Linked DNA regions of Rattus norvegicus. The protein of the gene in region 1 interacts with the protein of each later gene in a pairwise test. Links are inferred from orthologs where the notes say so. Each region holds a gene or a part of one and is shown on either strand. Other genes may lie near its edges. The genes, in order: Tsga10, Birc2, Zfp410 and Cdc73.

What was found.
Region 2: the proteins of Tsga10 (region 1) and Birc2 interact in binary tests that used the Homo sapiens proteins (3 or more experiments, as listed by UniProt). The two-hybrid records come from large-scale screens. The link is inferred for Rattus norvegicus from reciprocal best matches to the Homo sapiens genes TSGA10 and BIRC2.
Region 3: the proteins of Tsga10 (region 1) and Zfp410 interact in binary tests that used the Homo sapiens proteins (3 or more experiments, as listed by UniProt). The two-hybrid records come from large-scale screens. The link is inferred for Rattus norvegicus from reciprocal best matches to the Homo sapiens genes TSGA10 and ZNF410.
Region 4: the proteins of Tsga10 (region 1) and Cdc73 interact in binary tests that used the Homo sapiens proteins (3 or more experiments, as listed by UniProt). The two-hybrid records come from large-scale screens. The link is inferred for Rattus norvegicus from reciprocal best matches to the Homo sapiens genes TSGA10 and CDC73.

Annotation. Positions count from the first base shown.
Region 1 is NC_086027.1:47,589,703-47,597,711, forward strand, and holds the start of Tsga10 (testis-specific gene 10 protein), read right to left. Parts: upstream 4,360-8,009; 5' UTR 4,305-4,359; intron 4,160-4,304; exon of another isoform or gene 4,113-4,159; coding exon of another isoform or gene 4,041-4,112; intron 1-4,040. UniProt on the Homo sapiens protein: Plays a role in spermatogenesis. When overexpressed, prevents nuclear localization of HIF1A.
Region 2 is NC_086026.1:13,253,060-13,260,303, forward strand, and holds the end of Birc2 (baculoviral IAP repeat-containing protein 2), read right to left. Parts: intron 4,474-7,244; coding exon 4,234-4,473; intron 2,077-4,233; coding exon 1,822-2,076; intron 1,433-1,821; coding exon 1,391-1,432; intron 1,312-1,390; coding exon 1,118-1,311; 3' UTR 638-1,117; downstream 1-637. UniProt on the Homo sapiens protein: Multi-functional protein which regulates not only caspases and apoptosis, but also modulates inflammatory signaling and immunity, mitogenic kinase signaling, and cell proliferation, as well as cell invasion and metastasis.
Region 3 is NC_086024.1:109,704,128-109,711,371, forward strand, and holds part of Zfp410 (zinc finger protein 410), read left to right. Parts: intron 1-480; coding exon 481-672; intron 673-4,068; coding exon 4,069-4,219; intron 4,220-5,790; coding exon 5,791-5,972; intron 5,973-7,113; coding exon 7,114-7,203; intron 7,204-7,244. UniProt on the Homo sapiens protein: Transcription factor that binds to the sequence motif 5'-CATCCCATAATA-3', and is specifically required to silence expression of fetal hemoglobin in adult erythroid cells.
Region 4 is NC_086031.1:57,995,309-58,003,161, forward strand, and holds the start of Cdc73 (parafibromin), read right to left. Parts: upstream 4,724-7,853; 5' UTR 4,537-4,723; coding exon 4,406-4,536; intron 1,588-4,405; coding exon 1,482-1,587; intron 1-1,481.

The DNA.
Region 1 (8,009 bases):
TTTTTAAATAATGACATTTAATTAAACAAAGCAGTTTCTGTGGTGGAATGAAAGTAAATCCCAAGAGGACTAATAAATGAATAAGGATTAAAAATCAAAATATAAAATGTAAGCCTTTAATCAGAATGGCTACAAGAGCCAAAGAGGCGGAATAAAAGTTAAAGGAAGGGGGCTGGGGATTTAGCTCAGTGGTAGAGCGCTTACCTAAGAAGCGCAAGGCCCTGGGTTCGGTCCCCAGCTCCGAAAAAAAGAACAAAAAAAAAAAAAAAGTTAAAGGAAGACTAAGGCTGTAGAAGGTTCACTGCCAAAAGAGAAAAGTATGCTCCATTCTTTTCAAGAGACCCCTTCCAGAGTCAAACAAGTACTGTGGCTCTCAAGAAAATGCAAAGAAAGTCTACACATCCTTACTCTGAAAATTCAAACCTGAAATCCTCACAAAGTTTCTGAGCAACAGCATGAAGCTACAAATGGAAAAGTCCATACCTGACCTCAGGAGAGTGGCCAAAGTCAAAATCCCAGGATACCAAAAGTGTTACGGAAAATGGATGTAAAGTTCATATGAAACAAATTAATTTTCTGTTTAGATTTGGCCCCATCCCTGAGATGCATCATGTACATGCAATATCCCAAAGTCCCCAACCTCTGAAACAGCAACACTTCTGATTTTAAGCATTTCTGATGAACAATATCTAATCTGCATACACAAAACCACTTCAATATTTCCTTAGGGCCAGGACCACTGAGATGACTTAACTGATAAGGGCACTGTGCCTGAGCCTGATGACCTGAGTTTGATCACCCAGGACCCATATAGTGAAAGAAGAGAACCGACTCTCACAGTTCCTCTATCTCCGCACAGGCACTGTAGCAAGCATACATCCTGGCAAGCAAGTGTGCACACATACACATAGAAGTTGTCCTCTGACCTCCTCATGCACATAATGTGCACGCACATGCACAAGCACAAACACACACACACACACACACACACACACACACGCGCGCGGGGGGGGGTTGAAAAAGGAATTCACTAAAGTAATGCAAGTAATGAAGTCCTACAACAGAGAAAGAATGAAGACATAAATTAATGTTGATTGGTGGAGAGGCAAAAGGTGAGTAACATGAGGAAACCCAGGTAGCAGGTACACTGTCCTCTGACACAGAATGAGAAAAGCAAAGGTAAGTGGAATTTTAAATAAGGGTTAAATATGAGGAACTTCCTTCCTAGTGGGACTTTAATTTTTCAGTGAAATGAAGTTAAGATTATATGTTTAAAAACTATCAGCAAAAGGCGGGAAGGGTAGGGAGGATCAAGATAAAACAATATATGTGTGTGAAATGTCATGATACAACAGACTATTTGTATATTAACTTCTCTCCTCTGGTCACCCCCTCCCACTGTATACTAACTTTCTTTTTAAAGATTTATTTATTTTATGCATGTGAGTACACTGTAGCCGTCTTCAGACACACCAGAAGAGGGCATCGGGCCACCATGTGGTTGCTGGGAACTGAACTCAGGACCTCTGAAGAGCAGTCAGTGCTCTTAACCGCTAAGCCATCTCTCCAGCTCTGTACACTAACGTTTAAAAATTAGTTTAAAAATATATCATTAGGGTCAGGAAAGTACACACTGTACACATAGGATCAGAATTTGGATCATAGCATCCTTGTAAAGAAGACTGGGCACAGCAGTGGGCAGCATGTGCCTGTGATCCTAGCATGGGACAAGCAGGGGATAAGAGGACCACTGGGCATGCTGGTCAGCCAGACTAACTGTACTGACAAACTCCAGGCTCAGTGAGAAATGATGCCTTAAAAATAAAGTAAAGAGGGGCTGGGGATTTAGCTCAGTGGTAGAGCGCTTACCTAGGAAGCGCAAGGCCCTGGGTTCGGTCCCCAGCTCCGAAAAAAAAAGAACCAAAAGAAAAATAAATAAATAAAATAAAGTAAAGAGGGATTAAGGGAAAACACCCAGGTCAGTTTGTAACCTTCACACACATGTATACATGTGCATGTAACACATAACACACAAAGTATCATTGCTCTTAAGCAAACTGAGTCACACAGTACACATTTGGCAAGTAGCTATTATATTGATACAATAATTAAAAATACTGTAGTATTTTCAATTCAGTCCTGAAAACTGGTTCTGGGAAAGCTAAACTAGGGTTAAGTTTTGCTTTTTTTTTTTTTTAAAACAATTCTCTCCAAAAGTTAGATTTACAGACTCATCAAAGTAGGATAGAAGTGCCTACCAGGAGATATGGATAATCCTACAAAAAGGTTATGAATGTCACATTTATATTTATGACAAAAATAAGTGAGTATGTTTTGAGAACTCACTTCAAGCAAAATAGTAAAGTCATTAAAGTTTAAACTTTTCTTAAGGTAAACAACAACAAAATCTCCCCAGTCATTTCACTCCAAGCTCCAAGCTCATCTCTGTTTCTACAATCCAGTCTCTAAAGAAATAACTTATGTTCTCAATGCAGCATGAAACAATGGAGAGGCAGTGTTTATCAAGACCTTAGAAACCCAAGACGGAGTTAGCTGTTCTCTGAAGGCTTTTCTAGACCAAAGGGATTAGTAATTTAAGACTAAGACTAATGGTGCAACTAAAACAAAAAGAACTACCTTCCCCACTGCCTCTCCTCAAAACATGAGATGCATATATTTTAATACCCATAACCCTGTCAGATATTTGAAAACCCACCGACAGTAAATTGTGGTATATCTTTACAGTGGAACACTAGCAAACTACCTAGAAGCAGTAAGGATACAACCTCTAAGTGTTGAAAATAAGCTGTAGAACACCTGCTACAGTTTCCCTTCTATAAAGTCCCCTAACAAGGCAGACTGTAAGCTGTACTTTTGCACAGGATGATAAAACTACTAGGAAAAGCAAGAAAATGGCTAGCATTGCCAGTATGGGGAATAAAGGAAGCGCAAGAGCATGTGACTTGTTAGGGAATAAATTACACCTGTTTTAATGGCCTCTACTTGTGGAAAACTTTAAAACCAAATGATTTTTAAACAAATGAGACATTAGACTGAAAACAGAACCCAGAGGCTCTCTCTTTGCCTGGTTATATTCTGGGCTACGGCAATGATTCTTCTTTGGAAAATAAGTAAAACCTGTTTTTAAAACTGCCATTAAATAATATCGAGGTTTGGGGGTTTGAAAGGAATATTGGTTGATGTAATATATTTATTATTTCTTTCCCAGTAATTAAGACAGAAGGACTTAGTTCATTGCTTAATTAAAATACAATTGTTTTGTTCTTCAAGCACAGTTAAATATAACTTCCCTTTAGCTTAACAACCTATTCTATTCCGAAATTACTATGACTTTATTTCCCGAAAGTGAACAAAATGTACTCGAAATCCTGAAAACCAGTAGAATAAAATGACTAGCTAGTACCGTGGGACATGCAGGTCTGCAGGGGCTTAAAGAAAACACCGAACCCTGTCACTTGTGCAAACCTTTCTTAAAATCTAAATCGTTGACTGAAGATTATATACAAATACTTATGTACATATATACGTCGGCATTTTTAGATATTAAATGCATGACAGATGCCTATTTGAGTCTTGAATAAGTTTTCAAACAAAAACCAGCCTACCCTGCCTTTCCTCTGTACAAACTAGGAGATTGTGAGATTTTTTTTTCATGCAAAATTCAATTTCTCCCTTCATCTGCCTTCTAATCTATAAAGAAGAGATTGAGGAGAGACTGGGGGGTCCTGAAACAGACAGGCTAAACTTCCAAATGCCACAGCTTCACCTCAGTGTCTCTAAGCAATCAGTCCCCCAACAACCAAGCTGAGGCAGGCAGCAGCGAAGCGGTCACCATAGGAACTGGGCTCAACCATGAACTCCCCAGAAACTAGGGTAAATTTTGCTCCTGGAAGCCATCCTACCCGGCGGGTTACCCACGACACAGCTGCCCAAACAGCGATGCCCACCCCGGGCCACCGTGAGGCTCTCCCCACCCTCTTGCAGCCGCCCCGGAGTGGCTCTCTTCTAGCCCAGCGCACCTCCGAGGCTTCTCCCTGGAGCTCCGCAGCCCTCCCCTGGCCTCCGCGGCCACCGTCCTCCCCGGAGCTCATCCCGGCCACTATGGGGCCTATGGCCTTGCCAGAGATCCAGCCCCACCCCGGCCTCCATCCTCCGCCCCTGTCTCCTTCTTCCCGCCCCCTGGCTCCGCCCCGGCGGAGGCCGGCGCTGGGCAGGGCGCAGCGGGAAGAGGGCGGGAGCGGTTAGCTCGGGGCTGGCCGACGCCCCGCCCTCACGCTCTGTACCTGAGCGGGGCTCTCCTTCCACCTCCCCGGCGCCTCCGCTCCACTTCCGTCCGGCGCGCCCTAGCCCCCGTGCGCACGCGTACTTGGCTCGACACGCCCTCTCGTGGGGGGGGGAACTACGGATCGTGCGCGCGCACCCGAGCGAGCACGTAGCGACGTAGACAGCAGCGGGCCCGAGCTGTCAGGGCTCCGACTTGAGGCCTTTTCCTGGTCCATCCGCGCCGCGCAGGCGCACGGCCACGCAGCGCCGTGATGGCCGACCCGTGCGTCCAGTCTCTTAGTAACCATCCTCCAGCCTGCGCTTGCGAGGAGGTAGCCGGAACGCGCAAGCGCGGTGGCCGTCGCCCGGCGCTGGCGCCCCTGCTGCGGTCCCAGGAACCCCAGGCGTTTCTAGCTGAGGGAGGCGGTTACTCCCTAGAGCTGCTCCGGTGCGCAGCCATCGTCAGGAAGCTGTGCTGTGGGAGCCTTAAGGTGGGGGACCCTGTCGCAGCTTCCTGGCGGGAGACGATCTGTCCTGGTGCCACGGGTCTGCTCGGGTCAGGATGGATCTGGGAAATGGCAGATCCAGCATTCATCTCCCCCATGCCAGTCGGGCATTTCTGTTCTACACGCCGGTCCTCTCTAGCACGCTTAGCAATGAAAATCAAGAAAGGATATAAAACCTCGTGAGATGTTAAATACTGTATCTGAAGGTTTTACCCCGAGTTTGGCTCCTACCAGCGAGCAAAATTGGGCCTTTTCTTATCCGACGTATTTTTTTTTCTATTCGAGAGCCTTAAAATGGCATCTCGAATCTTTCTAAATGGAAATGAGCCCCGCGCTGTGCTGCCATTGTTTTTTTTTTTTTCAGTTTAGCATGAAAAGTATTTTGTCATACTGCTTTTGTGAGTGCGTTACCGCTTCTACCCATCTTAGCCAGAAGGTTTTTTTTTTTACCCCGTTTTTATTTATTTTATTAGGACGCAAAGTAAATAGGTTTCTTTGTGGCATTTGCCTTCAAAATTTGTTTCTGTTGTCCACTCCCCTTGCCGTTCCACTCCAGTGACCCCAGTGGTCCCTGCCTTTTTCATGTCACAGTGTTCTGTTACCCTCAAACCACTCTTTCCCGCCTCACCTTGTAGTTTCGTGAGCTATGTCCACATTCACACCCGTATTTACCCCCTACATGTAAAGCTAGAATCGGCATGCAAGAACATAATGGCTTTTGACTTCGTGAGTCTGTTATCTCATTTAAAATAATTTCCAAGTCCGTTTTTCTGCAGATTTCGTGACTTGTTTTTATGGTAGAGTCAAGTTTCGTCGTATATGTACAATGCTCCCATTATTGGTTCATCTGTTCAGGATATTTAGGCCGGATCCATTCCCTGGCTCTTGTGAATAGCGCAGCAATAAACAGGAATAAATAGTCAAGTGTCCCTGTGGTAGCGTGTGAAGGCCTCCGGGCGTATCAGAAGCAGTAACTCTAGGTCGCGGGTAGCTCTGTGTAGTTTTTTGAGAAGTCTTCACACTGAGTTCACGTCAGTTTGCATGCCTTCCAGCACTGTGAAAGGGCTCCTCCACATCCTTGCCAGCACTTGTAATTTGTTTTCACAATGATAGCCCTTCTGATTTAGGGTACAAACCTTAATTTGCACGCCCCCCCCCCCCAACCATGGCTAATGCTGTTCAGAACTTTTCAAAACATTTACTGGTCATTTATGTTTCTTCTTTTGAGAATGGCCCATTTCGTTAGCCCATTTATTGATTGTAATTTTTATCTGGGGTGGGGAGCAACAGTAAGTTTTAACGTCTTTGTAAATTTTAGCTTTAAATTTTTTGGTTATTTTATGAAAATCATTCAGCCTCAGTTCTTCAGTTGAAAACTGTTTTCTGGTGCCAGGCTTTGCCATAGTGTTTGTAATGAGTGAGAGTGCTTGGGAGGTAGAAGCAAGAGGATCTGGAATTCAAAGCCAGTATCATCTACAGTGAGTTCAAGGTCAGCCTGAACTGCATGCACTGGGCTACATGAGACCCATTTCAAAAAAGAAAAACTTGGGGTTGGAAAGCTAGCTCAGTGGTTAAGAGCACTTGATGCTGCTCTTCTACAGGACCCAGGCTCAATTCGCAGCATCGCTTAGATGACTCACAGCTCTCTAATTCCCGTTACAAAGGATCTGCTGCCCTCTTCTGGTCTCCACGGGCACTGCAGTCACACTGTGCACACATACCTGGCAGATATAGATAAAAATAAGTCTCAACAAAAATTAAAATTGATTTTTTTATTGCTGAAAGTTTGATGTTTTAAAAGAGAAGTCTTCCATTATAAAACATAGCCTGTCTAAACTGGCAGTGGTAGCACATACCTTTAATCCCAGTACTCAGGAGGCAGAGGCAGAAGGATCTCTATGAGTACAAGGTTTGGTCTACAGAGCGAGTTCCAGGATCGCCTGGGCAACACAGAGAAACCGTGTGTGTGTGTGTGTGTGTGTGTGTGTGTGTGTGTGTGTGTGTGTGTGTGTGTAGATAAGTTTGTTTATACACACACAGACACACATTCTCTGTATAATTTGTTCTGCCATTATCTTGGGAATATATAAAATAGTTAAATGACTATATTAAAGTACTTATGTATGGGCTGGAGAGATGGCTCAGTGGTTAAAAGCACTGACTGTGGGGCTGGGGATTTAGCTCAGTGGTAGAGCGCTTACCTAGGAAGCGCAAAGCCCTGGGTTCGGTCCCCAGCTCCGAAAAAAAGAACAAAAAAAAAAAAAAAAAAAAAAAAAAAAAGCACTGACTGCTCTTCCAGAGGTCCTGAGTTTCAAATCCCAGCAACCACATGGTGGCTCATAACCATCTGTAATGGGATCTGATGTCCTCTTCTGGGGTATCTGAAGACTGCTACAGTGTACTCATATAAATAAAATAAATAAATCTTTTTTAAAAACCCAAAAAAGTACTAATGCACTAAATCCTATAATTCATGATATTTTTAAGTTTCTTTCTATTAGCTTTTTGGCCTCTTCGTTACAGGTTATATTTTTCCTGCTTGTTTTCATGACTAACATGTTTGCTTTCAATCTTAAAATTAATTTAGTCAGCATGCAAAAATGGATTTATATGACATTTACATACATGTGTACCTACATAAAACTGCAAAATCCTGTTTTGCCTTTCCCTCCTATTTCCCCCCACACTACCCCCGACTTGTTCCTCTTCTCCCTCCCCAGTGTTCCCCCTTCTCTTTCATGTCCTTTAGTGCTTTTTCTTTTCTGCATGTATGTTTGGTATGTGCATGTGCGTGTGTTTACATGTAAATGGAAACCCATTGGCCTGTGTGTATGCATGGGTATCCTGAAGTAGACGTTTGCTGGCTTCCTGCTTTTATTGATTAAGACAGGCTCTCTCCGAGGTCCTGGAGCTGGCCAATTCTAGCTTGCCTAGCTGGCCAGCTTGCCTCTAGGATGCTCTGTCTCTGGTTCCCAGAGGCAGGAATTGGCAACATGTCTGCCTGGCTTTCCCATGGATTCAAACTCTGATCCTTGTGCTTGATGGCAAGAGCTTTATACACAGAACCGTCTCCCTAGCCATGGGTATGGGTTTTGTTTTGTTTTTTTTACATTTAGATTATGCATATGAAAGGTTCGTTTTAACATAATGTTTCATAGCCCCAAGGGACATAATTTCATCCTTCTTTATGTCTGAATAAAACTCAGTGGTGGATATATG
Region 2 (7,244 bases), on another chromosome or scaffold:
TCTCCAGCCCTCAATTACAACTCTTAGTTCATACTCCATCATTGAAGGGGGTCAGTGCAGGAACCTGCAAACGAGTTGAAGCAGAGGCCATGGAGGTGTGCTTACTGACTTGTCCCCATGGCTTACTTGACCTGCTTTCTTGTACTGTCTAGGACCATCTGTCCAGGGGTACAACTACCTGAAATGGGCAAGGCTCTCCTACATCAATCATTAATAAAGAAAACTGCTCCAAGACATGCCTATGAGCCATCTTATATGCTTTCTCAAGATTCCCTCTTCCAAGACATGTTTAAATTTGTTGTCAAAAACAAACCAGCCCAAAGATCCACCTGTCTGTGCTGTACACCACCACGCCCTCTGCCTTTTTAAAGACACTTCAAACCTTCACAAGCCTACCAGACTTATATCTAGGACAGGTCATATATGGTTTGGTCCACAAAGAAAGTACTTATCACTGTCTGGTTCCTAACCCTCCAATCCTAACAAACACCTACACTCAACAGGCAAGTAAACTGTTTCATATAATTTCTCATGTAGATTTATCTCAATTTTTTGATACTGATGGAGTCTTCTCCCAATATTTTATTTACAAAGCACACACAGCTTATCTAAAGGAATTCTCATGAATCACATTAGAAACATTTTTAAAAGATTTATTATGTACACAGTGTTCTGCCTGCATACATTCCTACACACACTGATGATGCAAGCCTTTAAAAAAAAAACTTCAGTATGTTTCTCATAAACAGAAAATATTATTTACTAGTAACAGAAAAATACTTATTTTCCAGAAGGGAAAAGCACCAAGAAGCACAGGGCTAACTGCTGAGTGCCAGGACCACTGGTTTCAGGATTTCTGAGTTCCACATCACCTGAATCCAAAGTTTTCAGAAATCCCAAATCCAGGAAGTCCTGAGGACACACAGCAAGCATCCCCACTCCTGCTCTGGGACATACACACTCCTGTAGCTCATCAGCATAGACCCTCCCCTGCAACAGACTAAGATTAAATATACAATATGACATAAAGCAAGATTATTAATCTTGAAAGAGTAGAGCACATATGTTCTGCTGCGTAGCTGAATCAGTAATTCTTTGTTCAGACAGCTTCCTTCATTCATGAGAGAAACGTACGCACAGTCCCTTTAATTGTCCCCCTGCAGATGGGGCACTTTCTCAGGGAAGGGGCACATTCCCGGCAGACTACCAGATGACCACAAGGAATGAAAACGATAGAGACCTCTCTGTCCATACACACTTTACACGTTCTTTCTTCTTGTAATCTCCGCAGCTGTTCTTCCAATGACAAGCCTGAGAACAGAAGGACAATAGTGAGACTCAGCCTCTACAAACTAACAGGCACAATGTTGGAGTGCTAGCTCCATTTTACCTGAAACGTCTTCTGTGGGAATATACTTCATCGTCTTCTCCACTGAAGAAAGCAAGCATACAAAAAGCATCATTCTATCAATATGAAACTTTTTAACCTACTACTTTTACATAGTTTTTTTTGTTTGTTTGTTTTTTTTTTTTTGCTATATATTACAAAGAATACTGTCGGGGCTGGGGATTTAGCTCAGTGGTAGAGCGCTTGCCTAGGAAGCACAAGGCCCTGGGTTTGGTCCCCAGCTCCGAAAAAAAGAACCAAAAAAAAAAAAAAAAAAAAAAAAAAATACTGTCCAGGCAATAAAATACATCACTTTTTAAAAAAATAGATAAAATGTAAAGATTACAGGTTTAAACTAGATTTATTCTGCTTTATCAATGGAGAGACAACTCAAACCCTATAGGTATCTAAATAATTTTTTCCAATAAACTCACCAAATAAGTGTTCATATAGCGTAGAGTCGACTTCCTTCAGAGAGTTTTTGAAGACGCTGGCTGCAGCATTTCCCTTGACTAAGATGGTGTCGATGAGCTCTCTTGCTTGTAAGGGTATCTGTGTTTTCTGTCTGATAATATCATGTTCCTCCTTTGTAAGTACACTGGCCTCAAGAAGATCATCCAGGATAGGAATGACACACGTCAACTGTTGGAAGAGGGCCATTCTATTCTTCCGAATCAATGACAAGTCACCTTCATTTAAAAACAAGCAAGAAAAAGTTCCATTAAATTTCAAACACCCCCAACTTACACCCAACCAACCCTATGTACAAATTAGGCACTAAGCTGAGCTTGAAGGACTTCTCAGAAATGACTTGATTGCACATCAATGCAATCAAGTGTCATGTTAATCTTACAGATTAAACTCCGATATATCACACAATTAAAAAAAAAATCCTTCAAATTGTTGTGAGCAAGCAGAAAATTTTAGAGAGTAGTAAACCATGTGTCCTCTCTTTTTTCTCTTTCCCCAGAATCCTAAACTAGTTGAGCTTTCTGGTTTGTTATTTATTGAGACAGGACCTCATGTACCTATGTTCCCCCAATCCTGACTCTACCTCCATTCCAAGAGCTAGGATTACAGACATGAACCCCTATGCCCGATTTACATAGTGCTGATAATGGAACTCAGGGTTTGTGAATGTCAGGCAAGGACTCTATCAATAAGCTACATCTTCAGCCTAGAGGCTGAGACTCCATGCCTTCTATACAACTACAATGCTCAAGAGCTTAAGCTACAAGACATGATGGACTATGCTTGGCTCCCAGGCAAGTCTAGCCACTTAATAGCCATGTGTCCTCCTGCTATATACACCTGATCTGAAATAGGAATAATATCATCTTCCTCAAAGAATTAAATAAAATGCACATAAACCACACTGCACAATACCTCACATGTAACACATAGCCAGCTTTATTTTATAAATCTAAATTTATAGTATAGTTTTTAAAAATGAATCTAGCTTATTCATAAGATTACTTTACTTCAGAGATGAGAAACCTTCAATTTAATTGAATGTACTACCTACTTACTAACCAAAAGGCCAGGATTGAAACATAAATCTATCTCAATCCAGAAGTTAGAATTTTAAACTTTTTGTGATATGGTCACATAATAAGGCTGTAGCCAACTAGACCTCTCTTTTTTAAAAAAAAAAAAAAAAAAAAATTTTTTTCTTTCCTTAGTGTGTGTTGGGGGAGGCAGTCCTGCCACAGCACCTAACTTATAGGAATCAGTGTGTGTGTGTGTGTGTGTGTGTGTGTGTGAGAGAGAGAGAGAGAGAGAGAGAGAGAGAGAGAGAGAGAGAGAGGAAGCGTGTAGCAAGCACCTTTCCCCATTAAGCCATCTTGCAGGCTCCCGATGGCCCTCTAATCCTGTCTTTGCAACCACTATTCCCAGCTAGTCTACATACTCCTTGAAAATAATCAATACTTCACATTTATTTACTTCTACTATTTACATATTTAAATATATGCATATTTGTTGAAGATATAATTACCCAGAGGAAGATTTATTCAAGGAGATTAAGACTTAATAAAATCTACACAAATATCCAAGTCATTTGTCTATTATCCTTGGGTTGGGCAAAGGACCACAGCCTAGGATGTCATCTTAAAATCAAATTTTTGGTGTAAGGATCACCTACCAAGGATTATTAGGTAAAATGTCATATTAGAAACCAAATTTGAAGGAACTTTATTTAAAAAGTAGATTCTTGCTTTGGAATGTAGGCTGACCGTAAACTCAGTACCCGTCTTACTCTCCTGAATGCCACGATTGTAAGAATTAGGTATGTTCCATTACAACCAGCTTTGAACCAGTTTTTAGATCTTGCTTAAAAAACAAAAACAAAAAATTATGTGTATGTGCCTGAGTGTATGTTTGTGTACCAGGTACATGCAAAGGTCTTAAGAGGGGGTCAGATCCCCAGGAACTAGAGTTGTAGGCAGTTGTGAGACACTGGACTTTACTTAGACAATAGAAACCAAACTCAAGTCCTTTACAAGGGCTCTTTACCACTGAGCAATCCCTCAAGTCCCTTAAGTCATGCTTTTTTCAGTTTTAGTTATGTATACAGAAGAAATGCAATACAGCTCAAAAGAAGTTTATTGTAAATCTGTGTAATGTTACATATACATGTAACCTCAGCACTTTGGAGGTGGGGGCAGGAACCTCAGGGATGTTCAAGGACAGCACTAGCTATAGACCGAATATGAAGCTAGCCTGAGCTTGGCAAAGAGACAGTTTAGGTATGTCCAGAGGAGGAGAGTATCAGCAGCCATTTATGGGTGAGAGGTGAGGATGCTGCACGTAACAGGTAACTGAAAACCTGCAGCCACCAATGCTACCTGATGCCGTCTCTTCACTCTGTCTCTCCTTCTCCTCTTCTCTTCTCTCATCTTCAGCATTCAGAAGTGCTGAGACAATATCACTGACCGTCCTGTAGTTCTCACCAGTGGCCAGGATCTGTCGCTGAACCGTCTGTCTCACCAGGCTCCTACTGAAGCCCATATCCAAGGCTGCTTTAACCACAGGTGTGTTCATCATCACTGCATCTTCCCAATTCTCTCCAGGGCCCAGATGCACAACTGTTTGTAAACAAATTTGCTACTATTAAACTCCACAAATTTAAAACTATGGAAAATATAATGCCTGTGGCACCATTTTTATTCATGTCCTAATAAATGAGACATACCATGCGCAACAATTAAATTAATTTCAATACGATTTGAACTTTGAACAATTAGTGTACTATGCATCTTAAAAAAAAAAAAAATCACTTCATACAGTACCTACATCCTGCCGTAAACTTAAAACAAAAAAATCTCTTGGCAATTTGCTTAGGAATCTGTTGCTAAAAAAATTTGAAGTGTTGTTGGAATGGCTCAGTGGTAAAGACACTTGCTCCAAGCCTACGTTCAACTCACAGAATCCATAAGGGGGTAAGAAGAGAACTAATTCCCAAAGTTGTCCTCTTTTTTAAAAAATAGTTTATTTGCTTCTGTGGCACTAGTGTTTTACCTGCATGTGTAAGGTGTTGGGTCCCTGGAACTGGAGCTACAGACAGTTGTGAGATGCCTGCATGCAGGTGTTGGGCATTGAACTTAGGTCCTCTGGAAGAACACCCAGTATTTTTTTTTTCTTTTTTCTTTTTATTGGTTGTTTTTTATTTACATTTCAAATGTTTCCCGTCATAAATCCCCTCTTATCCCCCATCCCCTGTGTCTATGAAGGTGTTCCCCAACCCACCAACCCACCCCTTATACCCCTCAGTATTTATAACTACTGGGATCTTCTCCAGTGCCCAAAGATGTCCTCTTAACTTCCAGACACACTGCAGCATGTGTACCCACACATACACTGTAAACAGCTTTTCCTCAAAAATCATGTAGGCAAGATGGTTCATGGGTAAGTGTTTGCTGTACAAGTCTACCCAAATTCAATTTCTGAAACTCACAGGAGAGACTGACTCCTGAAATAACTGTGTCTCCATATCTGTCTCTCTCTCACGTACCCACACATACAGATATGAAAAATTAATTTTAAAAGATCTCCCAAAATGATTCTAATACACATTCATTTTTTAAAAACCAATGTACCTCAAAAATATAGATATGCGAAATTACCTTCGAGCAAAAAAGTAGGGCAAATGTAAAGCTCATTATCACTGGACATGTGACAGCATAGACAAAGCCCTAGGTCCTTTCCTGACCCACATATAAGCAAGATTTAAGCAAAATACCACCCCAAAATAGATAGATGATAGATGGATGGATGGATGGATGGATGGATGGATGGATGGATGGATGGAGAAAAGGTTAAGATGTGGGTACACCTATGTTGTGGTAAAAGTAAATGCTTCTTTTATCCTGCACTAGATCCTACACTGTAGTGCCCCATGACATCTGTTAGATATTTCCATCTCATTCAGCAAAGCATCTCACCCACTTTGCTCTATCCCATATCACACTGCCGATCGATGGCTACTCTCTGAGCCTGGCAACAATATCTCGACCCACCTAGTTCCCAAGGCAGGTTGCCACCATGCCAGACATACACATCCCAATTTCATGGTGGGTCCAGTGTTTCCAGCCATCAAATACTCTCTTGAATCCAATTAAATCATCACATGAAAGCACACACAACACAACAACGTCTGAGAGAGGAGAGGTAGTAGCCAAGAGAACATGGAAGCGGTGTTAAGTTTCACATTTGTAGGTTGTTATGAATATTCTCAAGGCATGGATGTGTACAAGGCTTTGTATGTCTGGATGGATAGATGGAGCAAAGCAGGTGAGATGCTTTGCTGACTGAGATGACGATATCTAACAGATGACATAGGGCACTATGGTGACAGGATCTAATGTGGGTTAAAAGACAGCATTTTACCACAACACACCTAGAGGGCAGAAAGCTTACCTAGCACTTGTTTGCTAACACAGTAAAACAAAACATTGAATGAAGAAATGGGGTGTGGCCTGGGTGGAGGGCTTGTCTAGCATGCTTGAGGACTCCACTTCTGGCAAGCAGGCAGGCACCTACTCCCTCCCCAAAGAGAGAGTACGTGTGGGTGTGGGGCCTCACAGCAATGAGTCCTTACCAAGCACACATGAAGCACTAGGGTTGGATTCACACCAACGGACATGTATCAGATTTGAATGATGAATAATGTCTAAACAGGTACATAAGTGATGCAGAAAAAACAAGGATGGGCAGCATAAAGATGCAATAAAAATAAGCAAAAGTTGCTATTCTGAACACAGAAATTGGGAGGCCATGGGACACTTAGGGAAGCATTTTCTGTTAACCTGGTCAGTGCAAGCTTCTGTGAGATTACAGCTGTACTTTTCCAAAACACTTTACTGCCGTCTACTGGAAACATACAATAAACACACAAAAGTGTGTAGAGAGCCACTGTGATCAAAAGTATGTCTGAAGAAATACTAAAGACAGCCTTGATCCTCAACACCTCATCCAGAAAGTAACATTTAAAAATAAATAAGACCCTAAAACTGAAATGACAAAGCAGCAACAGGAACGACTGAATGAGAACAGCAAGGCAAGCCTTAAGCAGCACAGAAGCTTAACACAGTCAAGAAGTAAAGATGGTGGCAGGCAGCAGGGATAGCGGCCATGGTAGACAGCTTTGTAAGGAGTGCCTTCCATCACCCTAAGCTTGCCACAATACTGCAGGAGGATCCTGAGCAGAGGGCTGTTCCAGAGGTGACTGGAGATGCTGCAGAGATGGACAGGGGATCAGGAAGAAGTACAGGACAGACCGACCGGGGTAGCATGGCCTACGGTTGGCAGTGGGTAGACTAAGTATCAGGACTCTGTGACGGCGGAACAGACTCCTCAG
Region 3 (7,244 bases), on another chromosome or scaffold:
AACATGGTGAGACCTTGGCTCAAACAAATCAATAATAAAGAAAACGTGTTGGGCGTGGGTCACTTACCTTTAACTCCAGCTCTTGGAAAGCAGAGACAAGCAGATTTCTGAGTTCAAGGCCAGCTTGGCCTAAGTAATGACAGCCACTCTTAACTGCTGGGCTATCTTTCCAGCCCTGGTGAGAGAGAACTTAACGGAAGCATTCAAGAGAGAATGACCTGACCGCACACAGGATTGGAGTATTTCAAGTGGGAGGTGGCCTGGTTGCCAGGAAGGAACATTTTGCTTCTGAAACAAGAGGAGGCAGAGTTAGCAGTAAGCCTGTGGGCTGGATGGAGAAACGATATCTTAATTATTTATAAGAACAGAAACTTGAAGTGAGAAGGGAAGATCTAGACTGATTAATTCGGGACAAGTGTCTGGGCCAGGTCTAATGAAAGGATGCTGGCTAATCTTCCTGTGTTCTCTTTCTCCTTTCAGGTCTGGGCTCTTCAGCTGAGCACTTTGTGTTTGTACAGGATGAGGCCGAGGACTCGGGGGCTGACTTCCTCTCTGCTGAGAGCACAGACAGTAATATCCCATGGTTCCTCCGGGTTCAGGAACTGGCCCACGACAGTTTGATCGCAGCTACTCGTGCACAGCTAGCAAAGAATGCAAAAACTGGCAGCAATGGTGAGACTTTCTTCTCTCAGGTTTCTCCATACAGAGACTTGGGTAACAGAGCGGCTGTATTTTGAATTGTGTATAATTGCAGCTGTGTTCTGTAAAATGGCAGAATACTGTGGCGGGACAGAGCACCTCAGTGGGTCCAGCCAAGGTGTTCTCCTGAGGACTCACCACCGTGGAACAGGCCTAGAACAAAAGGGAGCTTATTTGGGGGAAGGGAAGGGGACCTGGAAAAGGGGTAGAGGAAGAAAGAGGAGGGAGGAAGAGAGAATAGAGAGAGATGGGGGGAGAGCGAGAAGTGGGTGGGTAGAGAAAGGGTGTGGGAGGGGAAAGGGAGGGAGGGGGAGAGAGAGAGAGAGAGAGAGAGAGAGAGAGAGAGAGAGAGAGAGAGAGAGAGAGAGAGAGAGAACGAGAACATAGTCCTTATAAGCCACGTTACCTTGCAAGTTGTTGCTAGGTAGCTGCTGGGTGGAGCCTAGCAGAATTGCCGACAATATTGAATGCTTTTATCATAATCATTCTTAAGTATGTAAAGATCAAAATTTATAAAACATTTATATTTAGAGCTCAAAGAAGTTAAAATAGCTTTATCAGTTAATAAAAGTACAATTGTAAAATTAATGTTGAATCTGACTCATAATGCTTAAACTATGTTGATATTCATTAGCCAATTGCTTTATGCTAGTTACTTTCTGTTTAAAAAGTTTGAGTGTATATGTGTGTGTGCATGAACATGTACACATGGAGGATAAAGGTATGTCCTCCCCACTCCTAGGAATATCCCACACATGGCTGGTCTGTGTTTCATGTCCTCATGCTTGTGTGACAAGCATTTCCCCCACTAAGCTGTTTTCTCAGTCTGGTGTCTCTTCAGCTTAGCCTGTACAACTTCATGTGTCTGACGTCACTTTGGAATACGGTCCCCGGATCCCCAGGCAGCTCAGAGGTGTGGCTGTCTTGGTGCTGAGAGGTGGCTCAGCTCTTAAGGGTGATGGCTGCTCTTTCAAAGAAGCTGAATTTGCTCCCTAACGTCCACATCAGGTGGATCCTAACCTGTAACTCCAGCTCCAGAGGACCTCACACACTCCCTTACCCCACATTGGTCTTCAAGTGCAACTCTCATGCCTAACCACAGATCTGTGGTAGATTCAAAACCCCCCATACTAGTCAAACCTTCGTTTACATAACTACCATTAATTTTTAGGTCTCTTGATTAGTTCTCTTTCTGTATTTTCTCATTAGTCTGTGATGATTAAGTTATTACCACACCTGTCACTATTGTTACTAACCAAGCCAAGATTACACACAGCATTGTCAGTTGACAACTATTTGGAGCTCTTGCCTGGTAATCCAGAACATATTTATAATTATTTTCTAATTACTGTTCATATAAAAACAAAAAACTAAATAACATCTCATAAACTTGGGGATTCTACAGATATTTCAGAATATTTATTTTTATAAACAATAACTCCTACACAGAATATTCCATACTTTTGTTGATCTTCAAATGATTATTTGATAGTGACTTCACGGTGCCCTGTATTCATCTAACCATTTGGGGAAGATTTCTTCTAAGATGATTTTTCTAATTCAAAAATCCTGAAACCTTTCGGTCCCCAGCTCCAAAAAAAAGAATAGAAAAAAAAAATAAATCCTAAAACTTTCACCATTTTAGTCACATTTAGAAAATGGTGCCGCCCTACATAGTGAGTCCCTCATCTCAAAAGACAAAAGTTACTTTATAACCTTAACAAGTGTCTTATATTCCGGAATACAAAGTAAATACCACAAACATAAGACACAAATAGTTTCATTTTGTTGGTGAGATCCCCTAAGATTTTGTATTTAATTCTTTCCTAACAAACTACCCCTCCCCTTGCAGGGTCTCCCCTTGCAGGGTCTCCCCTTGCAGGGGCTCCCCTTGCAGGGTCTCCCCTTGTAGGGTCTCCCCTTGCAGGGGCTCCCCTTGCAGGGTCTCCCCTTGCAGGGGCTCCCCTTGCAGGGGCTCCCCTTGCAGGGTCTCCCCTTGCAGGGTCTCCCCTTGCAGGGTCTCCCCTTGCAGGGTCTCCCCTTGCAGGGTCTCTATGTGGCCCTGGCTGTCCTGGAAATCACATCTGTAGGCCAGATTGGCCTGGGAGTCAGAGATCCACCCACCTCTGCCTCCGGAGTGCTAAGATTAAATGAGTGCACCATGCCTAGCTCTGATTTTCTAGACATTGACTTCTGTATTTTGTTGTTTGTTTTTGAGGCAAGGTCTCCTTATGTACTTCTGGCTTTTCTATAACTCACTATGAAGACCAGGCTAGCCTTGAACTTAGAGAGATCCAACCATCTCTGCTTCAGTGTTTTCACGCATCTCAGGACACACATCTTACCTTGACTTACTTTCTGTACTGGGTCACGTAAGGCCTCCTGCTTGCTGGGCATGTGCTCTACTGAGCTAGCATCTGCAGCCCTTCCTTACTACAGCCTGTGACGAGGTCTTACGGAGGTCCCAGGCTGGCCTGAAGGCAGACCTGTTGATGTGGACCATGCATACATTCTTAGTTAGCAGATCCTGGGCAGCATGAGCCGAGGCCTGCTTGCTCGTCTTGCCTCCCTTCACTATGGAACAGCCCCATGGATGTTGTCTCTTATGAAAGATTGGTTCAAATTTTCAAAATTCATCTGAGGTTTACATTTTTAAACACTGGATAACCAAAATGGGGTGAGATAGGAAATTAGAAGGTTGTTCTTATCCTTCAAATGATAATAAATGAACAAGTTGATTCAGAAAATGGGAAATCTTAAGAATGGCCACCTGTTTGGAGACGGGGTAGGAGGGAGGTAGGTTTGGGGGTTTGGGATGTGGAACTGTTGGAGGGTGACTGGGAGGAGAATAAAATCTGGAGCATAAAAATAGGCAGGCAGGCAGGCAGGCAGGCAGGCCGTCTGTGATAAAAACCTGCTATAAGCTCACTCATCCAAAGCAAGTGTTTCCTTATTTCCTAAAACTCGAAGCTCCCTCTGTAGCCTCCACTCTGGGTGTTACTTCTCTACCAACTCTGCTGCAAATGCTTGGGTTCCTTTTGAGACTGCTCAGTCCTGCTACTTCTCTCCCACCACAAAAGCTGGGATTACAGGGGTGAGATCACAGGCGTGTACCACCATGCCTGGCCCCGCAGATGAGATATGTGTAAGGTAGCCTTACTCAATATCACTACGTTTGTCAGAAACCTAGTGTTAGGAAATAAAGCCTGCAAGCTGTGGGTAATTCTCTGGATGTAGACGAAGGTCATGCCTATGCCTAGTAAGCACAGATAGCTGTCTGGTTAACGATTGATCGCTAGCAATGAAACATTTGAATCTGAGTGTCTGAGCAGGATCTTTCCCTGAATTCTAAAATGTCACTTGTTACAGGAGAAAATGTCCACCTTGGTTCTGGCGATGGGCAACTCAAAGACTCTGGGCCCCTTCCTCAAGTGGAAAAGAAGCTCAAGTGCACGGTTGAAGGCTGTGATCGGACATTTGTGTGGCCAGCTCACTTCAAGTACCACCTTAAAACTCATCGGTGAGCAATCATACTGAGGAACCTGTCCCTGAATAGACAAACTACAGGAAAGCGGGAACTCCGTTTGTGCTGGCTAAGATATCTTCCTTTGTCAGGTGTGATGATGCATATACACCTGTAATCTCAGCCTTTGAGATCGACTTGGGCTGTAGGGAGACCTTGTTTCTTTCTTTCTTTCTTTTTTTTAAGATTTATTTATTTATTATATATGAGTACACTGTATCTGTCTTCAGACACCAGAAGAGGGCATCGGATCTCTTTACAGATGGTTGTGAGCCACCATGTGGTTGGGATTGAACTCAGGACCTCTGGAAGAGCAGTCAGTGCTCTTAACCACTGAGCCATCCCTCCAACTCAAGACCTTGCTTCAAAAGACCAAGGTCTCTGGTTCTCGTTTGTTTCTGGGTGGATTCTTGTGCTACCACATTGCTTCAAATTTTTTGAGCTTAAATGATCTTCTGCCTCAGCCTCCCAGGTTTACAGCATGCCAGCTAATAGGAAACTTCTTGTTTGAACCTTGTTTTTGTTGTTCTAGGATCTAAACCCGGGCTTTATAATCTACCTAAAAAAAAAAAAAAAAAAGTACTGTTTTGTGAGCTGTATCCATAGCTCTATGTTTTTGTTTTGTTTTGTTTTGTTAAGATGAGTTCTCACTGTTTGCTCGCACTGGCTCCAAACTCAAGGTTCTCCTTCCTAAGCCTCCCATGCACTGAGGAAACCGTGCATCCCCATACCTGGCTCAGGACTCTTGTATGTTAATAGAAAGATTGTGTTGTCTTATTTACTTATTTTGGGCATGTGGCTGCAGGCAGGCCTCAGACTTTCTGTACAGAAAAGGATGCCTTTGAATTCTTGGTTCTCTTGCCTCTGCCTCTCATTAACTTATTTCTGATAAATATTTAAATAAGACATTTTGCACCTAAATATCTTAAAGAGTAAAAATTCTCAAGTCTTACTACAAAATAATTTGAGAACTTAATATGTAAATTCTAAAGAGATGAGTTAGCTGTTAAGAGCATTGGATGCTCTTCCAGAGAGCAAGTTGGTTGCCAGCACCCACGTGGCAGTCCACAGCTGCCATAACTCCACTTTTAGGGATCTGGTGCCCTTCTGGCCACCTTAGGCACCAGGATATATGCAGTGCACAGACAATTCAGGCAAGATACCTATACACAGGAAAACAAATAAAATAACAACAGCCAGGCAGTGGTGGTGCACACCTTTAATCCCACACTAGGGAGGCAGAGGCAGGTGGATCTATTTTGAGGGCAGCCTGGTCTACAAAGCAAGTTCCAGGACAGCCAGGGCTACAGGGAGAAACTCTGTCTTAAAAAACTTTAAAAAAAAAAACCAACCTAACAACAGTAATGGCAGATCTTCCTAGGGCACCACCTTAAGTCTGTGTGGTGTTGTAGCTGAGACTGGGCTTGTACAGTTCTAACAGCCTGGGTTGGTTTGAGTATCCCCGTCGGGAGTGCACTGTCTGCCTTTGGGTCGGTAGAGATGCTGACGCAGCAGCAGCAGCAGCACACAGCGCTCTCAGGCCTTGGTGCTTGTGACTGTTTTCACAGAAATGAGCGCTCCTTCATCTGCCCTGCAGAGGGTTGTGGGAAGAGCTTCTATGTGCTGCAGCGGCTGAAGGTGCACATGAGGACACACAACGGGGAGAAACCCTTTATGTGCCATGAGTCTGGGTGTGGTAAGCAGTTCACTACGGCTGGAAACCTGAAGAACCACCGACGCATCCACACAGGTGAGCAGCTCCCTTCCCTCCCGCAGTTTCCTCACCTCTGCCGGCCGCCGGCCACTCCCTGCTCCCCTATACTTAAAGGCACAGCGAGGGTAGAAATGAAACACACTGTTGTTACTAGTCCCTGAGGAGAGGGTTAATTCCATTGTCTTGTGCATTCTGTTGATTCATTATCAGTAACCTTTATCCAGCTTTATCTGTGTGAGGAAGGAACAGACAGTATTGTCTTCTTTCTCCAGAAGCCTACCTTGTAGGAAGAAATGTGAGGTTGTCCTAGATGACCTTAGCGCCGCCAGGAGGTGACGGACAAGTCGGCCTGTTTTCCAGTCTCTGAAGATTGCATGGATGTATTTATCGAATCCTGTGAACGTTACAGAGCAATAAATAGGAGATAAAGTACAATCCGAAAGCGAGGTGCTTCTTCTTGTTAGCACTTACAACATGACAAATAGAATGAGTGTCCGAATGAAAGAAGCAAAATAAAGATTCCTTGCTTCTTAGTCCAAGATCCTGCACGTGCTTCTGGAGCCGTTGTTAGAAATGTGTTATTACTGACCTCAGGTCACCATTGAGCATGTGCACCTCTTCCCTGCTTCATGCCACTTCCCAAGTCTTGGCTAAAATGACAGGAGGTACACTGTATAGGAAATCAGAAAGGGAAGTCCATGCACAAATCACAATTGTTCTAGACATAATTTCTTCCAGTTGGCATACCTTTATATGTTAGGATGAAATAATTTTCTCTTCAGTTTTCTTACAACAGTAAATGTGCCTGGAGGTGGTGCACACCTTCAATCCCAGCACTTAGGGGACAGAGGCAGGCGGATCTCTCAGTTCGAGAGCAGCCTAGTCTACAGAGCTAGATCTAGAACAGCCAGTTTTAGACAGCTTTAAAGCCAAACAAAAGAAATAAGCAAAAAGGAAATAGTAAACAGTTCTCATTCTAAGGAAGAAATTAGAATAAAAAACAAAAAGGCTGTGTCTCGTGGTCACATTTCAGAACATTAAGAGCCAGCATTTGCTGGGTGCCCAGTTGGAATTATAAGTTAAAGCAGAACAAGTCAGTCATTGAAAGCAGGACACAATGATTAGGAAAGCATTTTCACAAAGAAGCCTAAGCCTGTGTCTCACTTTCTGTCCCCAGGAGAGAAGCCTTTCCTTTGTGAAGCCCAGGGATGTGGCCGCTCCTTTGCTGAGTATTCAAGCCTTCGAAAACATCTGGTGGTTCACTCAGGTATGAGAGCCTGTGCCCTTTGTAGACCTCAGTACAGTAAG
Region 4 (7,853 bases), on another chromosome or scaffold:
AATTACTTAACAAACAATTCTAATTATTGCTTAATTAGGATTTTAAAGATCTAATAAATAATGTAATGGTCAATTATTAATTTTCCCTACTACTTACCAACTTTAAGATTTTTAAACATATATTTAACACTGAATATATGTTTCTTACTCAGAAAAACAGTCCTACTGAAGCAGAATAAATGAGGTACTTTCACAACTGGTCCAAATAACAAGTTACTTTTCAAAAGCCTCAACTATCTCTACTTAGAAGGAAAGGTTGTAAGAGTAAATTTCACACAACATAATGCAATCCAGCAGTAGTGTTAAGCTGCCAAAAAATATCTCTAGTGATGGAAGTCACAATGAAGATTTTATGGGTTTGTTTTGAGAATATTCAGAAATGAAAGAACTACTTTCAAATTAAGACAATGCAGTAAAGTTAAAACAGCTTTTAGAGTAGATATTTGATTATATCAGTATCTCCAAAGTAATTCTATGTCTGATCCATCAAGAAATCTGATGGAGGACCACTTTTAATAAAAGTTAAAGGGCTGCAGCGTCTCTCAGAAGAAGAGTACTTGCCTAGCAAGCATGAAAGCCTGGGCTCAGTGCCCAATACCACATTAACAGGACATGACTGCAGACACATCTGATCCCAGTACTAGAGGGTAGAGGCAAGAGAAGCACAAGCTCAGGTCATCCTCAATTAGACAGGTGCTAGAGGCCAGCCTGGGCTACATGAGACTTGTGTCCTCCCAATACCCAGAGAAATATCTGGAGAACCATCATAATTTGCACATGTATGCCAAGCTGCAACGTCAAACTCAAATAATTCAGAATCCTACTTAACAGTCCCTTGCCAGCAGAAGAACCTCATCATAACAATCTTTGTGAAATGAAATATTTTTAATTATTCCTAATAATTTCCTCTCAACAATGAATTTTCAAACACTGACAAAGCAGATAAAACTAAAAAACAATACATTTGTCAATAAAGTACCAAAAGAACTGTTCTGGTTAAAATTCTAAAGAAGTATCTGCTTACGTTGGGTTTATTGAGATTTTCATACTTTAGTACTAAATTTATATCATTCTTATGCCTTCTCCTATAATATGTTTATACTAAGAAAAGTTTTCTTGAAATTAAACTATAGTTCTGAATTATCAGAGTTCTTCTACTTATATTTTTTGAAACATCTATGTAGTCACTTTTAAAAGTTCTGTTATGGGGTTGGGGATTAGGCTCAGTGGTAGAGCACTTGCCTAGGAAGTGCAAGGTCCTGGGTTCGATCCCCAGCCCCGAAAAAAAGAAAGAAAAAAAAAAAAAGTTCTGTTATAAATGTTACCTATATTTTACATGAATGAACTGCCAACTAAAAAATCTGAATAAATCACGTAGCAGTTTAATTTTCACTCTCCATGACAATTTCAGACATTTGAAACCCATGAGTGAAGTTATCTATAACTATTTGATCAATAGTTTTAAAATGACTCCTACTTACAGCTGCACGTCGGACATAAACAGGATGCGAAAGGTGCACATTATTAAGGAGAAATAGGATAGAATCCAATGTGTAGTATTCTCTGGGTTGGCCTTCCTTTCCGGTCCTAAAATTAAGGCATGACTTTTATTAAGATTAAGATAAATATTTGAGCTCAGTTACATGCATTCATTTATCTATATCTAGTTGGTTATCTAACAGTGTATTTAACCTAGCAAAAACATACATGCAGTATAAACTTTCACAATGAGTTGTCATTGGGCAAAAGTAAACAAAAAAATGCAGAAAAAAAAAAAACAGGGAGAGCACATAAATTCATTCTTTAAAATACCATATATACTCTTTCTTTTCTTTATTTAAGACAGGCAAGGTCTCGGGTTTGGGGATTTGGCTCAGTGATAGAGTGCTTGCCTAGCAAGCACAAGGCCCTGGGTTCGGTCCCCAGCTCCAAAAAAAAAGAATAGAAAAAAAAAAAAAAAAAAAAGACAGGCAAGGTCTCATGTATCCCAGCTAGCCTCAACTCTGCTACACAGCTGAGGACAGCATGTACACTCCACCATATTTCTTTGCATGTGGTGTTGGGGATCAAGTGCCGAAACCCATACATACTAAGCAAGCATCACACCAACTGAGCTACATCCTCAATCCCAACTCTAAATATGTATACATATTTTAAAATAAGACTTGAGTTCTGGACTCTGTCAACAGAAAAAATAAAAAAAAAAAAATCCAACCAGCTGCACAATGGAAAGGATTATCATAGAAAACAAACTAGATGAAGGTATTACTAAGGATGCACTTAAAAGATATACATCTTATAATTCTAAAAAAGATACTGCTATACAACATCTTCAACAATACTCTGAAAGTTAAAAGGATGTACTCCAAGGAGATGATCCTTATAACATCTCTCAAACTAAACCAATAAAGCAAAACTAAAATACTGTGATCAAGTAATGTAGTCTTGGGGATACAAGTTCTCTAATGCTAACGCACACACCACTTTGCAATCCCTTCCTTTCTCCTCCATCTACTTATGATGGTTCAACTGTAGGAATCCATTTAAATACAGCTCACTTTATTTTGTCCTAAACCTCCTTTACTAGCCTCTATTATCACTTTTACTCTAAGCAAGTGGTTCTCAGCCCTCCTAATGCTACAACTCTTTAATACAATTCTTCTTGTTCTGGTGACCTCCAACTAAAAAATAATTTTCGTTGCTACTTCGTAACTCTTAACTTTGCTACTGTTATAAATGTACCTATGTTTTCTGATGGCCGTAGGAGACCCCTGTGAGGGTCTTCCCACACTTCCAACCCACAGGTTGAGAACCACTGCTCTGAAGTGATATGTCAAATCATTCATTGTTAATTAATATACAAAGTAATTATCATAAAATAGCAGAAAGCGCTGAATGCATTAAGGGTACTAACTAGTCTTTTAGAGATACACACAGTGAGATGTGAATTCATGTAGAGATATAACTTCTGTTGAAGATTTGATGTTGAAAGTTTTAAATTCCTTCTAAGTTTTACTTTTCACTCCTCTGTACACTCTTGTCAAAGCATGTCCTTCCCAAGTCTCATGTCTTAAGTCTCAAGTCTATAGTCCCCAGCACTGGAAGGCTATCCCACTATCTCACTCAAATTCTTAGCTGTTCTTTAAAGTTTACTCATCTGTTCATTCATTTATTCCAGGCTTTGTAGAATGGACAAAACACACTTTTCTAAATACCGCCCCACCCACAAGTAAACAACTGTTCTCTTCCTATCAGCTAGGAAACATTTCAGATCAACTTAATCTGTTCCACTTTTTCTAGTCAAAATAGCTTAAGGAAGGAACTTTTTTTTTTCCAAGTTAAACTTCTTTTATCCCACGGGTTTTTAAAGAAAAAATATTCATTAAAACCCAATAAAATAATTCTGTGTAACGTATCTGAAACAGTAAAACATGGGAAACTCAAAATGTCACTTAATCAACATTTCAAAAAGGAACTCAGTAAGTCCAAAGAAATCTTAACATTTTCTCGTTTTTAATTGATCATTCATAAAGTCATGAGTACCAAAAGTCTGACTCATGATTCTAATTATCAAAGAGAAGCATCAATGGCAGTATCATGATTAAAGGGGACCCAAAGGATTATCTTTGATTATTAACTTGATACTCTGTGATTTCCTCAACGACTTAAGTTCATGGCATCCACGAATCAACCTTCCCAAACGCTTCGTTTTTCTTTGAAAGCGCTTTTTGAAAAGCACATAGGATCAATTTCTCAGACCCGTATGTAAAACTCACTGCATTTCACCAATAACTTTCTCCCCAACAAAGTCTTGCTTTCCTCTCCAATACTGATGTTTGCAGACTTCCAAACTCTCCCATCTTTCCTAAACTGTAAGGAGTACTTGTCTATTCCCTCTTTTTTAATATCAGCCTCCCCTATTATGAAAAAAAGAAAAGAAAATTACCGGGACGCTCGAAGAGCCAGAGGAGACAGTTGCAACACATGGCAGCCTCTGGGAGATTACAAAAAACAACTAAGAACAAAAAGCGACTCGGTGGACGCCAGATGCTGGGATCGATGTCTGCTTCTATACCTCCGTTCAGGTAGACGTGCAGCAGCCCTACACAGCGCGGACAACCTGTACATACTGAACACCGACTGGCAAGTCGGAAACTCCCATGGTACCTTTCCCCTTGGCTTCTCCAACACAGAAAAGACTTGACCGCTCTAGAATCCGCTCCACTTCTTCCCTCCTCACCCTAAAAGTACAACTTCTGCTCCAGAGAATAACTTTTTCCCAGAGCACCCATATTTTCCTCTCATCCCCGAGGGACTCCGGAGGAGGAGGGCTTAAGGGAAGAGGTCGCCCGGGGGCGCCCGACGCTGCCCGGCCACCACTAGGCCAAAGCCATGCCGCACTTACCCCCAAACTACATAGTTGGTCTTCACATTCTTGGGCCAGGAGAACTCCCCGAAGATCACTTCATCCCCCTTGACCACAATCTCCTTCTTCTGGATGTTGTACTGTCGCAGGACGCTGAGCACGTCCGCCATCTTCGCCCCCCTCGCTGCTACAGCCGCCGCCGCCGCGGGCCCCGGGCACCGCCGTCGCCGCCGCGCCCGCCGCCTCCTTTCCCCGTCGCCTCGCCCTCTTCCCCCGCCGCCGCCGCCGCGAACCAACAGCCACCACACTAACAGCCGTCCGCGTCTACGACAGCAGCACGGGCAGAAGCCACCCAGGCCGCCAAGGACCCCGCGCTATATAAGGCAAGGCCCCGCCGCGGGCTGCCCGCGGAGAACGCCTGACTGACCCACGCTCCGCCAGGGCCGCGGGCCGCCGCCAGGGGGCGCCGCGGCCGCCCGAGCAGACGCGCCTCCCAGACGCCCGCGGGGCACGCCGCCGACTCTGGGAAACCGGGAGCCAGCCTGGGCGCTCCCGGGGTGCTGAGCCTTAGCGGAATCGCGCCCGGCGCGGGTTCCGAGGCGAGCGACAGGTGCGCGCGCACCTGCTGGGCGCTTCCGCACTTTCGATCCCAGAGCGCGCACTGGGTGATTTACTTTCCCTGCGCCAGGCTTCGCTTCCCTGTGTTGAAGGCTTCCCCCTCTTTCTGCCTTCATCTGAGCCGCACTCAGCGAAATAGGTCCCCGTGGGCAGGATAAGCTACTAGGGAAAGCTTGAACTTTGGAATGTGGACGTTTTCAAGTTAAGGCTAGGTTTTCATTAGGAGTAGATTTGCAAAGAGGAAAAGAAGAGTTAGGTGAAGAACAATTCTGGAACCGTTTGTTAGTCGCTGGTCTCCTAACATCGATTGATTGGTGAACGGAGTAAAATTAATATGAGAATAAGTTGAAAGCATCCTAACGCGTCGACGAAATACAATTCATTGTTGACCACCCCCTCCCCCACGCCGCCTCTTTCCTTGGAAACAACTTTTTTCCATCCCGGCAACGGCAGCTTCTCCCGGGTAACCGCCCCCCGCCCCAAAAAAAGCCTCAAATGATTCCAGGTTGTGAGTGGAAGAAATACTAAACATCAAACCTCAAAAGGTTTACCGGTGACTTTATGTTAGGGGAACCTAGAATTCTGATACTTTACATGGCCTGTGTAACTTAAACATACACTTCAAGCCTAATATTTCTTTTTCACTCTTGGTGAGAAGGAGGCACACTTTGTTACTTATAAAACCAAATACTTTGATCTATTGGGTTTTGGGGGGGGGGGCATGAACTTTTGTTATGTGTGGCAAAGAGTTCTCCGGGTATGGATGTATGAGGTTAAAAGAATGTCTGCCTCACAAACGGTTTTCTCCCTTCAATGTGTCTCTGAACCTCACGGCAAATGCGGCTTATAAAGAACTGACTTTGCTCGACTGTCCCTTTCACATCTGGACTTATACCTATATATCACAGTACCCAGTATTTCCTTGTCCCCTTTATTTGCTTGCCTACCTCCTAGGAAATGAAACGACTGTATGACATGTAGTACATCTTGGTCGTCTGCACTGTACTTGATACAGTAACAACACCTAGAAAATATTGAGTTAGTAAGTGAAAAGATAAAGTCTCCTAGTAAAGTTTGAGGTAATAAGTGCATTATAGGTTTCAAGACGAGTTAAGAAAGTCAACAATAGTTTTTATGAATTTTATTTTATATACAAATCATTTCCAACCAATTTCTCTTTTTGATTAATTTATGTCTTTAAGGTTAATGACCCCTAGACTCAATGTTGTAAGACAAATGTTATTGTTTATAAGTTAAAGCACTGAAATTTTTACATCATTTTTGTTATATAAATTCCCTTAAATTGACCTCTAATATTAGTTAAGTCAAGAAGGACAAAGTCTAATAAAAGATAGTAGCCGTGGAACTGAAAACTTGGGAAAGCAACTAAAAAAATTATATTCAAAATAGTTTTATCCTGGGTATAAGCTTAACACTTCATAGTGACACATACATTGGTAGTAGCCAGCAGCTCTCTAACTGGACTTAAGACCTACTCAACAAGAGGGAAACCATGCCTGTTACAGAAGACCTAGCTAACTCCCCATGCTAGTAAACTCATGGATCATGAAGGAGAACCTACAACCACCATTTTACTAAACCTGCATACTCTGACTGCATTCTAAATATTTATCCTTGAGCCCACAAATTAGTGTAATTCTCACCGCTCTTCAAAAACTTTTTTCTCTTTGCAACAAATAAAGACTATCACAGGAAACCACAACTGATCAAATGCAGCTGATCCCTAATGAACACATCTACAACACAACCCCTGCACATAAGGCTCAGGGATCGTTTCCGAAAAGGAGGTGGAAAGCTTGAAGGAGTCAGAAGAACAGGAGCATTGCTAGGAGACGGTGTTTCCTAGAAATGTCAGAGAAGATACGCCCATGAAGTCTCACTAACATGGCTGCCTAAACATGACCTGACGAAGAAAAGACACCAACGGACATGCTAACGTGAGAGAGAGAATGTTTGTGGGACCTCAACACTAGACAAAGAACTCAGGCAGCAAGGAATGCTGAGAGAGAGTGAAATAGTCTTCCCCGTGGAGAAACAAAACTAGTTATCCAAACCAAATGGTCAGTCCTGAAAGCATACAGATTCGTATATACATGTGTGCGTGTGTGTGCGCGTGTGTGTGCACGCGCGCGCGTGTATGTGTGTGTGTGTGTTGTGTGATACTGAGCACATTAGAACTGTGTATATGTAACAACAGTTTAAGAAAAAGAGATTATGAATTTGAAAGAGCAGAGAAGAGGTTCTTAGAAGGACCTAGGAAAGGGAAGGGAAGTAATAAAATTATATTATAATATCAAAAAACTAAAAAAAAAGCTGTGCATATCTGTAATTATGAATACCAGAATCCCCAACAATTCTTACTTAAGGTTTATTGATAGAATGCCTAACCAGCAATCAGAAAGTATCCCATTCGCTTTTTAACCTGGAAATTATGGGTATACTAAATACATATACACATCTATAGATCTTTGTATAGTCATTGAATCCTGATAAATCTTTCTGCTTCCATATCCCAGTGCCTCCCTCCAAATGCTATAAATCTTGGTCCTAACAATGTCTTCACACATTATCTCTCTTTGCTTGTTAGTGACCACAGAAACATCTCCTGTGTTTCTCATGGTTGACAGCTCACTTATTTTTAACACAAAATAATATTCCATTCTCCAGATGTACTATTACTTACAAACCAGAAGATGTCTTGGTGACTTCCAAGTTTTGTCAACTTTGAGGTTGAGAAAACTCATATCAATATCTATGTCCAGATGTTAGTTTGGGTTCAAAATTTTAATTTCTTATATAAATACCAAGAAGTCAGATTGTTAGGCCAAACAATAAAAGAATGCTTAAC